Linked DNA regions of Bombyx mori. The protein of the gene in region 1 interacts with the protein of each later gene in a pairwise test. Links are inferred from orthologs where the notes say so. Each region holds a gene or a part of one and is shown on either strand. Other genes may lie near its edges.

Region 1 (4,309 bases):
TGGACATCACCCAAGGCTTGCTTAAAAAAATATGGTCACCACAACACCACTAGGCCACCAGTGCATTATATTTTTTTAAACATTTATCTATTTTAGAATGCTACCGACAGGTTGTGACTGCCACATTCCACCAACATTCCCTACAGTCTGTAATGTAACTTATGGAGTCATCTTACCTGGTAGACTCTCTTGTAAAAAAACTAAGATGAGATTAGCATCCGATTTAAAAACCTACATTAGCTTCTATGTAGAAACTTAATATTATAGATATTACCCATTAGTTCCCGATATACAAAGTCATTCCAAGGCCAAGCTTAAAACATTACCGAGTAGGCATTGGTTCATCATAAATGATAAAAGATTTTATATAAAATGACAGAACCATCTCAAAGTCAATATCTAAGTAAAGTAATATGTGTAAACGTGTATGGTAAAATTATGTATTTAGTTGTGTATTAGGTATAATTATTAAATTTATATATTTAACATTAATTTCTTACAATTTTCAATGAATTTATTTAAATTTATGTATTTCTGTATTTATAAGTCAGTAGTAGTAGTAGTGTTATTGGTAGAACTCGTAGAAGTAGTAGTGGCAGTAATCATTACTTGTATTTATACATTAGTTAATGTATAATATGTTATATATATGCTTATTTAACCCATTAACACTGTGCGTGTTAGTATGATCACTGTTAAAATATACATATGTTTATTAATGACAAGTAAAAATTAATTTATTCAACATTACTCATTATTTTCATTTTAGTTCACTATCAAAAAGACTTTATGATTTAATGATTTTAGTTCTATTTTATGTAGTTGTTGTTGTGATTTTTATACATACTGTTTGTTCAATGTGTTCATATGAACACCCTAAGCGCTCAGAGTAAATATATACATTTCTCATTGAACAAACATTGAGTTCATTTATTTTTAGGGACAATTAAAAGATGTGATAGACCTCTTGATAATGCCAAAAGAGCTTGCTAAAGCAATTTGTATAGAAGCGCTAGAATGTGCTCAATTTTTAATGAAGATTTCAGAAAAGATCACTGTGATCAGACAACATTAGTGAATGTCAACTTTTATTGGGTTTTAAGATATATCAGGAGAAAAATCTGAATAGCATAATTTTCCAGAAGATTAACAAGAAGCATTAACATACAAACTGTATTTTGATAATCTATTTACTAGTATCTCAATGCTTATTATACATTTATGTGAGCCTGCTTATAATGGCACTGGTATGTTCAGAGAAAGCAGAGTACTATTAAAAGATCACTTGTCTCAGGCAAAAAAAAGAAGAAAGAGGTATTTCAAACAGCAAACTTGTTCAAAGGAAAGTATTGTTATTATAGCATAATGGCTGGATAATGCTATAGTAATGAGAAAGCGCATCTTGCTACAATAGATAACATAAAATTATAAGCATACCTCAACTTTCTCATTTTTACTTTAATTACATTCAGAGGAACATCTATTTCAAAGTTTAATAATTAAAAAAAGCAGCATTAATGGGTTAATAAACATGGTATGTTGTACAAACAAACAAACATGTTGTATAGAATTACAGAGAACAGCTGTCAAGGCTTTAATAAACAAAGATTCCACGTGACCGTGACTACTCTGCCAAGAGTAAGTCTATGACGATGATTGTATAGAATCTAATTTTTCTTTAATTTATCAACTTTAATTAACTGGAGAGAATACCTTAAGTCCACCAATGCACATTAATATATATGAAGTGTAATAAATAAATAATGCACACAAAAAACACCTGAACATCTATATTTGATAGTAGTCGAAGAACACCCTTCTGCATAAAGAAATTGTATCAGTAACCATTTAAACAAACTTAATTCCAATCAGAGCCTCAATGTACACAATTATGGAAAAAACTTTAAAAGTGCATTAATTGGATTTAGTTACTATTGCATTTAACATACTTTTTATTATTTAACATATTTATCTAGCAGTACTCACCTGATTTAGCTTGCTTAGCTTTCTGAGCTATTACAAGTAAACCCTTGCATTTATGGATCAAATCTTCTCTGCTTAATTCATCAAAAGGACTCTTTTTTGGTGGTCCATCTTGACTCTTGAATTAAAATAATAAAGGCTTTTAGGTAAATAGTCTAGGTATTTAACATTCATGTTGATTACAAAATATATTCCTGAAAAGCACTAAGTAAAGGAAATTCACTGCTCTGAAAACACATCTGTCTCAAGGAGGCTAAGAATATTCAATGACAGGTACCCAAAGAAAGTAATCGTTTCTAAAGGATTTGGGTTATAAAGGCCCACCACTCTTTTATTATTAAAAACATATCAACTATAAGGATGTTGTAATGCGATTAAAACATTATACATTTAAATCACATGATTACAATTAAATTATTTAATTGAAACTTATATTACGAAATACAATTAAGGAACAAGGATAACATTTTATTCTGTATCATAAATTAATCAATTGTTACGCTCTTTTTTTCTTCTAAATTGCAAAATTCTGCATTAAGCTGTTTTAAAAATGTTTTTTCTAACCGGATGGTTCTGAATCGCTTCCATCATGAAATTGATTTTCTAGTTAGGAGCAAAACCTATTTGTTCATCTCAATCGGGAGTTTATATTTGAAAATATTAAATAGGTAGGTACTCCATTCAACAATATTATTTGACTACACGTATTATTATTTACTCCATAAGGCCCTCATAAGGGTATAATCTATGTTTACTCCGAAGAATTAATTGACAACCAGCAGTCTTTTAGCATAAGTTATCTATGACATGACCACTAGTGTTGCTTTTAATTCAAGGTATTCTCCGTATAATGAAACAATGTTTTCAAGACATAGCATAAAATATAATAATGATAGATGGTAAAAATGACAATGTGTTCGAAGTATATTTCAAATAATGGAATATGGAAAAGAAGGTTACAACATTCCTCCCCATCTACATCTCGTTGATCAGACGGCGGGGTGCCTGTATACTAGAGGTGGCTAATATAACCATTAACCAATAAATTTACCGGTAAAAAAAATTAACACTTCTATTCGATAAATAAAATTACCCAAAACGGTTAAAAATACCGTTTAACAAACACACTGCGTGTAGTGGCATAGGCAATTATTGGAAATTATATTTATGCAAGTTTCAACTTTATTTCAACACGTAAGATTCATTTTCGCCTTGCAGATGTTTTCAACTTATCATGTAAAAAATATTGAATTTTATGATTTCATTGTATGCTCTATACCCCTCAAAATAAAGCACAATATTTAAGTTGGTGTATTTTACAGTTAATGATAATTTTTTTCGTTAAAAAATTGAAATGAAACGATATTTTTACCGAACGCGAAGATGACGCGATTGGTTGATTTTTTAAACGTAATATTTTGTTTGATACTTGACATTTTGGCGGCTCAGTGCATCTTTTCTATTATTTTGGTAAAGTTGTGTTTTTGTATTTTAAGAGATTTGTACTTTGTGTTTGTGTGTTTTGACTTTGTTTTTGTGTGTTTGAGACTTTGCTTACTTTGTTGTTGTGGATTTTTAAAGTGTATATCTAATTTAAAATGCCGAAACGCAATGCAGAAATATGGGATCATTTCGAAAAGTGCTTGGGAGCGGAAAAAATTGCAATGTGTAATTATTGTAAGAAAAATCAATTCAAAAATATTGAACCAGCGCACCGCCGTGGTGGAAAATTTGTAAAGAGTTTTTCCCACTAATCATTTCGTACTAATTAGTTAAGCTAGTTAGCCCTAAGCCTGTAGCTTCTAAAGTTCACTGAATCGAAAATAAATGTAAGAAACTCTACCATTCAAGTTTAACATTAGCAAAATTAGTATTTCAACGAAAAGATTTACCGGTATTTTCAACCAATAAAAATATCGGTAATTTTTTTTATCAATTACCAGTTAACAGATAAATAAATTCAACCATTAACGCCATCTCTACTGTATACGTCGATTACTTCGACGCGGAGCAAATGGCACAGGAGTGGAGACCGGAGCAGGTGAGGAGTATAACTTCGAATGCTGTGAAGGTGAATTTGGAGAAATTTGTACATTTGTAGGTGACTGCGGTGTAGGTAATGGTACTGCTGCTGAATTCTTGTTTTTAGTTAGCCTTTCGTTAATTGTTGTTTCCATTCCAATGTCTGGAGAAGCAGTCGCCGGCAGCATAGAAGAATGCGCCCTTTCATTCCTCGGGGTTTCTGAGGTGGAGGACTCGCGTGGCCTGATATGATCAGCGTGTCTTCGTTTTTCTAGTCCTCCTGGTGTTGAAACAATATATGAAT
Region 2 (4,091 bases), on another chromosome or scaffold:
AAAATTTGACATCTCCGTTTGGTAGCATTTGCTTTGGGCATCAGTAGCCACTAAACACTGAATGGGCTGTGAAGTTCATCTGTCTATATGAATCAATAAAAGCAACCTATTGTTACTCACAGAACAAACGTTTGTTTCAAGAATTTACTCATCAGAATTCGTTCACAACTTTCATTTATCTTTACCAATGTTGTGCATTAAATAACTAATAGCTAAGTGAAATAATGTGTTGTATTTGTACTATCAGATACCATCAACTGATTGTACAGACATATAATTAGTAAAATTTGTGTCTATTCCTGATGATAATTTTAACATGCATTTACTTTTTAAATAAATGCTTTGTTTTTAAATTGTGTCTTAAAAAAAATGCTTATTTCAAATAGGTGTATGGATAGTTTTCACTAATTCTTCCATGAAGTCGTCGTGGCCTAAAGGATAAGACGTCCGGTGCATTCGTATCTAGCGATGCAACAGTGTTCGAATCTCGCAGGCGGGGTACCAATTTTTCTAATGAAATACGTACCTAGCAAATGTTCACGATTGACTTCTACGGAGAAGGAATAATATTGTGTACTAAAAATTAAGCCCGCAAAATTATAATTTGCGTAATTACTGGTGGTAGGACCTCTTGTGGGTCCGCACAGCTAGGTACCACCGCCCTGCCTATTTCTGCCGTGAAGCAGTAATGCGTTTCGGCTTGGAAGGGTGAGGCAGCCGTTGTAACTATACTGAGACATTAGAACTCATATCTCAAGGTGGATGGTGGCATTTAACGTTATAGATGTTTATGAGCTCTGGTAACCACTTAACACCAGGTGGGCTGTGAGCTAAACAAAGCAAAAAAAAACTATTAATTAAAACACACTGCTTCTGGCAGTTTCCGGCAAGTGTTATTATTATAATTTATTTTTTTTGCTTAGATGGGTGGGTGAATCCCTTCACCGTGGAAGTCAATCGTAAACATTTGTTAAGTACATATTTCATTAGAAAAATTGGTACCCGCCTGCAAGATTCGAACACTGGTGCATCGCTCACCACAAATGCACCGGATGTCTTATCCTTTAGGCCACGATGACTTTTAAATATTGCTCTGTATACCTTTTGTACAAGATGTATAGATATCAGAAATATCTCTCTAAATTTTAATTATTTACCAATACATTTATATACCTGAATATACTTTCAAATGTATCACTAAATAATTTCCTAGTTTATACATAGATATTTTTGTTATATTATATTCATTTCGTCTTATTGGAATTTTCTACTTGATACACATCAAGTGATTTAGATCACATGATTTAGTTTCTGTCATCTTCTTAAGGACTCTTAGTTTAAAATAGTATCCATTATACAGTATGCTTTAATTTTTTTCAACTCACCCTTAACATATGCACAAGTTCATCTTTAGATATTCCTATTCGATCCCTGTCAGCTGAGTCTACAACATATATTATTGCATCTGTGTTGCCATAGTAACATCGCCAATAAGGCCTGAAATAATAATACATGTTTTTACATTTAAGTAACAAAATTCTATTGATTGGTCAATTTTAATTGTATTTTTTTCAAATATTGAATTATGCTGGCTTACCAAACTTTTTGAATTTTCCTAAAGTATTTAGAGTGTTTGAGTATTACACAGTATTACATATTACACACACAGACTTATAGTTTAGTTTAAATCTTTTAAGACCACAATGATGAGTTTGATTGAGAAATATAGTGTATGATAATAAATATGTATGATGTCTTTGATTGAAATATATGGTGATAGCCGTGAACCAAATATTAATATTTTTAACATTTACATTAATTTGTTGTAATGGTTGTATTCTAAAGCACTGCTGCAAAGCATTAGTTAATTTTAATAAGCAATAGTATTGTATAGTAATAGAATAGAATGTACTACACTTGAGACTTCAGCATCGAGTTTGAACATCTTGACAGCATAATTGCATATGACCACTTGTAACAAAGTCCTAACCTTCAAAGCGAACATTTTACCTAATACTGGTCTGTCCCCCAAGATCCCACACTTGGAACTTGAGATTTTTATATGTGACTTGTTCTACGTTGAACCCAATCGTCGGTATAGTGGTCACGACCTCACCGACTTGCAATTTATAAAGAATTGTCGTCTTTCCGGCACCGTCCAATCCAAGTATCAAAATCCGCATTTCCCTTGCACCCAGCAATCCTCTAAAGTAACTAAATAGACCACCTACAATATAAAAAATATACAACACTCCTCACAACAATACTTTAGGTAAAAATTCAATTTAAAAAATCTCATAAACTCATACCCATTTTATTGATAAGCTTAGTTTAATTTATTGCTATTAATAAGGAATGTTTATGCACTTCGTTTGCACATTAAAGATTTTTGAAATTGTTTCTTTGTACTTATTTACACATGGAGCACACTAAATATCCTATTTAACAATAAATATTGTACATTTTATAGAAATCTCAGTCATTTGACGTGTAAGCAAGCACTCAATTATTTTGTTGCCAGATTTTGAAAACTTTTATCTTATAACTTGTGACGAAAAGGCGTAGTTTAAAACTGTTAAAGTATGGTAGAATGTTAAACAACACTGTTTTCTCAAATAATAATCAAAAATTTTGTTACGCCAGTTCAATAACAAAAAATGACGCTATGTGCAAACTGTTCCAAAAAAAGCATTTTCCTCTTGTGGTCAATGGCTTAACAATTAATTTCTTATGTAAGAACCAAAAAAGACACATTAATCATAGATTATACACTTAACACATTAATAATTAACTCGTATCGCAATCAACATTGTGTCAAGAAGTTTCTTTGTTTATTACTTATGTTTTTTTTTTATTATCTGCAGGATTTGAAACTATTTACTATATGTAGCCACTAGAAAATTCACTACCACGTGTAGGTAGAATTATAACTTCCTGGGTCTACGTGCTGATGTGTCATCATTCTGAATTTTTGTGTTGCGTAATCACTGAATCAGTCATGGTTTTCAACTTAGAGGTGGGATAGCCACTATTGAATAGAATTGAAACTTCGGCTTCTTATCTCAATGTGGGTGGTAGAATTTGCGTTGTGATATCAATATCCTCCTTTTTTCCTACGTATTTGTCAGCAGCTTCAATAGCCTATTCTGGTTTCATCATGAGTAGTGGCCGAGCTCACGAGGCTCATGCTGAAAGACGTTGCTCACATCTGCCCTAACCAGAGAACTGCTTCGCAGAACATGATGACCACCTGACATAAGGAACCGTGGATAGTTCGACTCTCTATTAATGCGTAGAGAGTGCGAAGCGTCGGATTATCGACTATTTACGCAGTTTAAGCCTCTTCTCATGGCTCGACGTCGCCCTAAACACGTCATTTCGGATCTTCTCGATCTAATATCGGTGCTTTTAGGTGCCTCAAGCACTGGTCACCGTTCTCGTCGAACCCGTCGCTCGCTATGAAGGAAATTAACCCACAGACACAGCCCACTGAGTTTCTCGCCGGATCTTCTCAGTGGGTCGCGTTTGCGATCCGCTGGTAGATTCTGCGAAGCACTGTTCTTGCTAAGGCCAGTGTTAGCAACACCCCCGGTTTGAGCCCCAAGAGCTAGGGTAACGCTGACATACCTAGTCTCTCAAGGATATCAGCATATAGGTAGGGGAAAAACAAAAAATAGGGTTGGCTGTGGCTGAGTTCGTCGAGCAAAAAAAGTTAATGATATAGGCTTCTAATATAAAAAAAAAAACTAAAGAAATATAATATTACTGCTGAATTTTAGATAGCAGTCTGCTTTTCAAAAGTTTCCTTTCCTGCAGCAAATAACTTAAAAGCTATTTTATGCAGAATGATATTAAATATGATAAGGCGCTTCTTTAAAATGAGTCAAAACCTGAGTATGATAAATGAGATGAATTTTATGACGCTTTAAATTGAAGTATCTGGATAGTGTTTTATTTTATATTTGTTAATATAATCAAAATATCAAAATAAGTATTTTTAACGATTAGCCCCATGATTTGCAAACGAAATAAATTTTATTGTCCCTTTGTAATACAGTAATGCAAAAATTTCCATCGTTCTGTCATGACCT

Evidence for each region. The genes of interacting proteins can lie anywhere in the genome.
Region 2: the proteins of GRIP and coiled-coil domain-containing protein 2 (region 1) and ADP-ribosylation factor-like protein 1 interact in a two-hybrid assay, tested with the Drosophila melanogaster proteins (2 studies listed by BioGRID). The link is inferred for Bombyx mori from reciprocal best matches to the Drosophila melanogaster genes GCC185 and Arl1.

The regions. Positions count from the first base shown.
Region 1 is NC_085121.1:11,080,563-11,084,871, reverse strand, and holds the start of GRIP and coiled-coil domain-containing protein 2, read right to left. Parts: upstream 2,810-4,309; 5' UTR 2,575-2,809; coding exon 2,548-2,574; intron 2,102-2,547; coding exon 1,987-2,101; intron 1-1,986. Other genes in the region: uncharacterized protein K02A2.6-like, read right to left, coding at 3,963-4,309.
Region 2 is NC_085119.1:17,325,140-17,329,230, reverse strand, and holds the start of ADP-ribosylation factor-like protein 1, read right to left. Parts: upstream 2,932-4,091; 5' UTR 2,314-2,931; coding exon 2,310-2,313; intron 2,228-2,309; coding exon 2,011-2,227; intron 1,498-2,010; coding exon 1,386-1,497; intron 1-1,385. UniProt on the Drosophila melanogaster protein: GTP-binding protein involved in protein trafficking; may modulate vesicle budding and uncoating within the Golgi apparatus.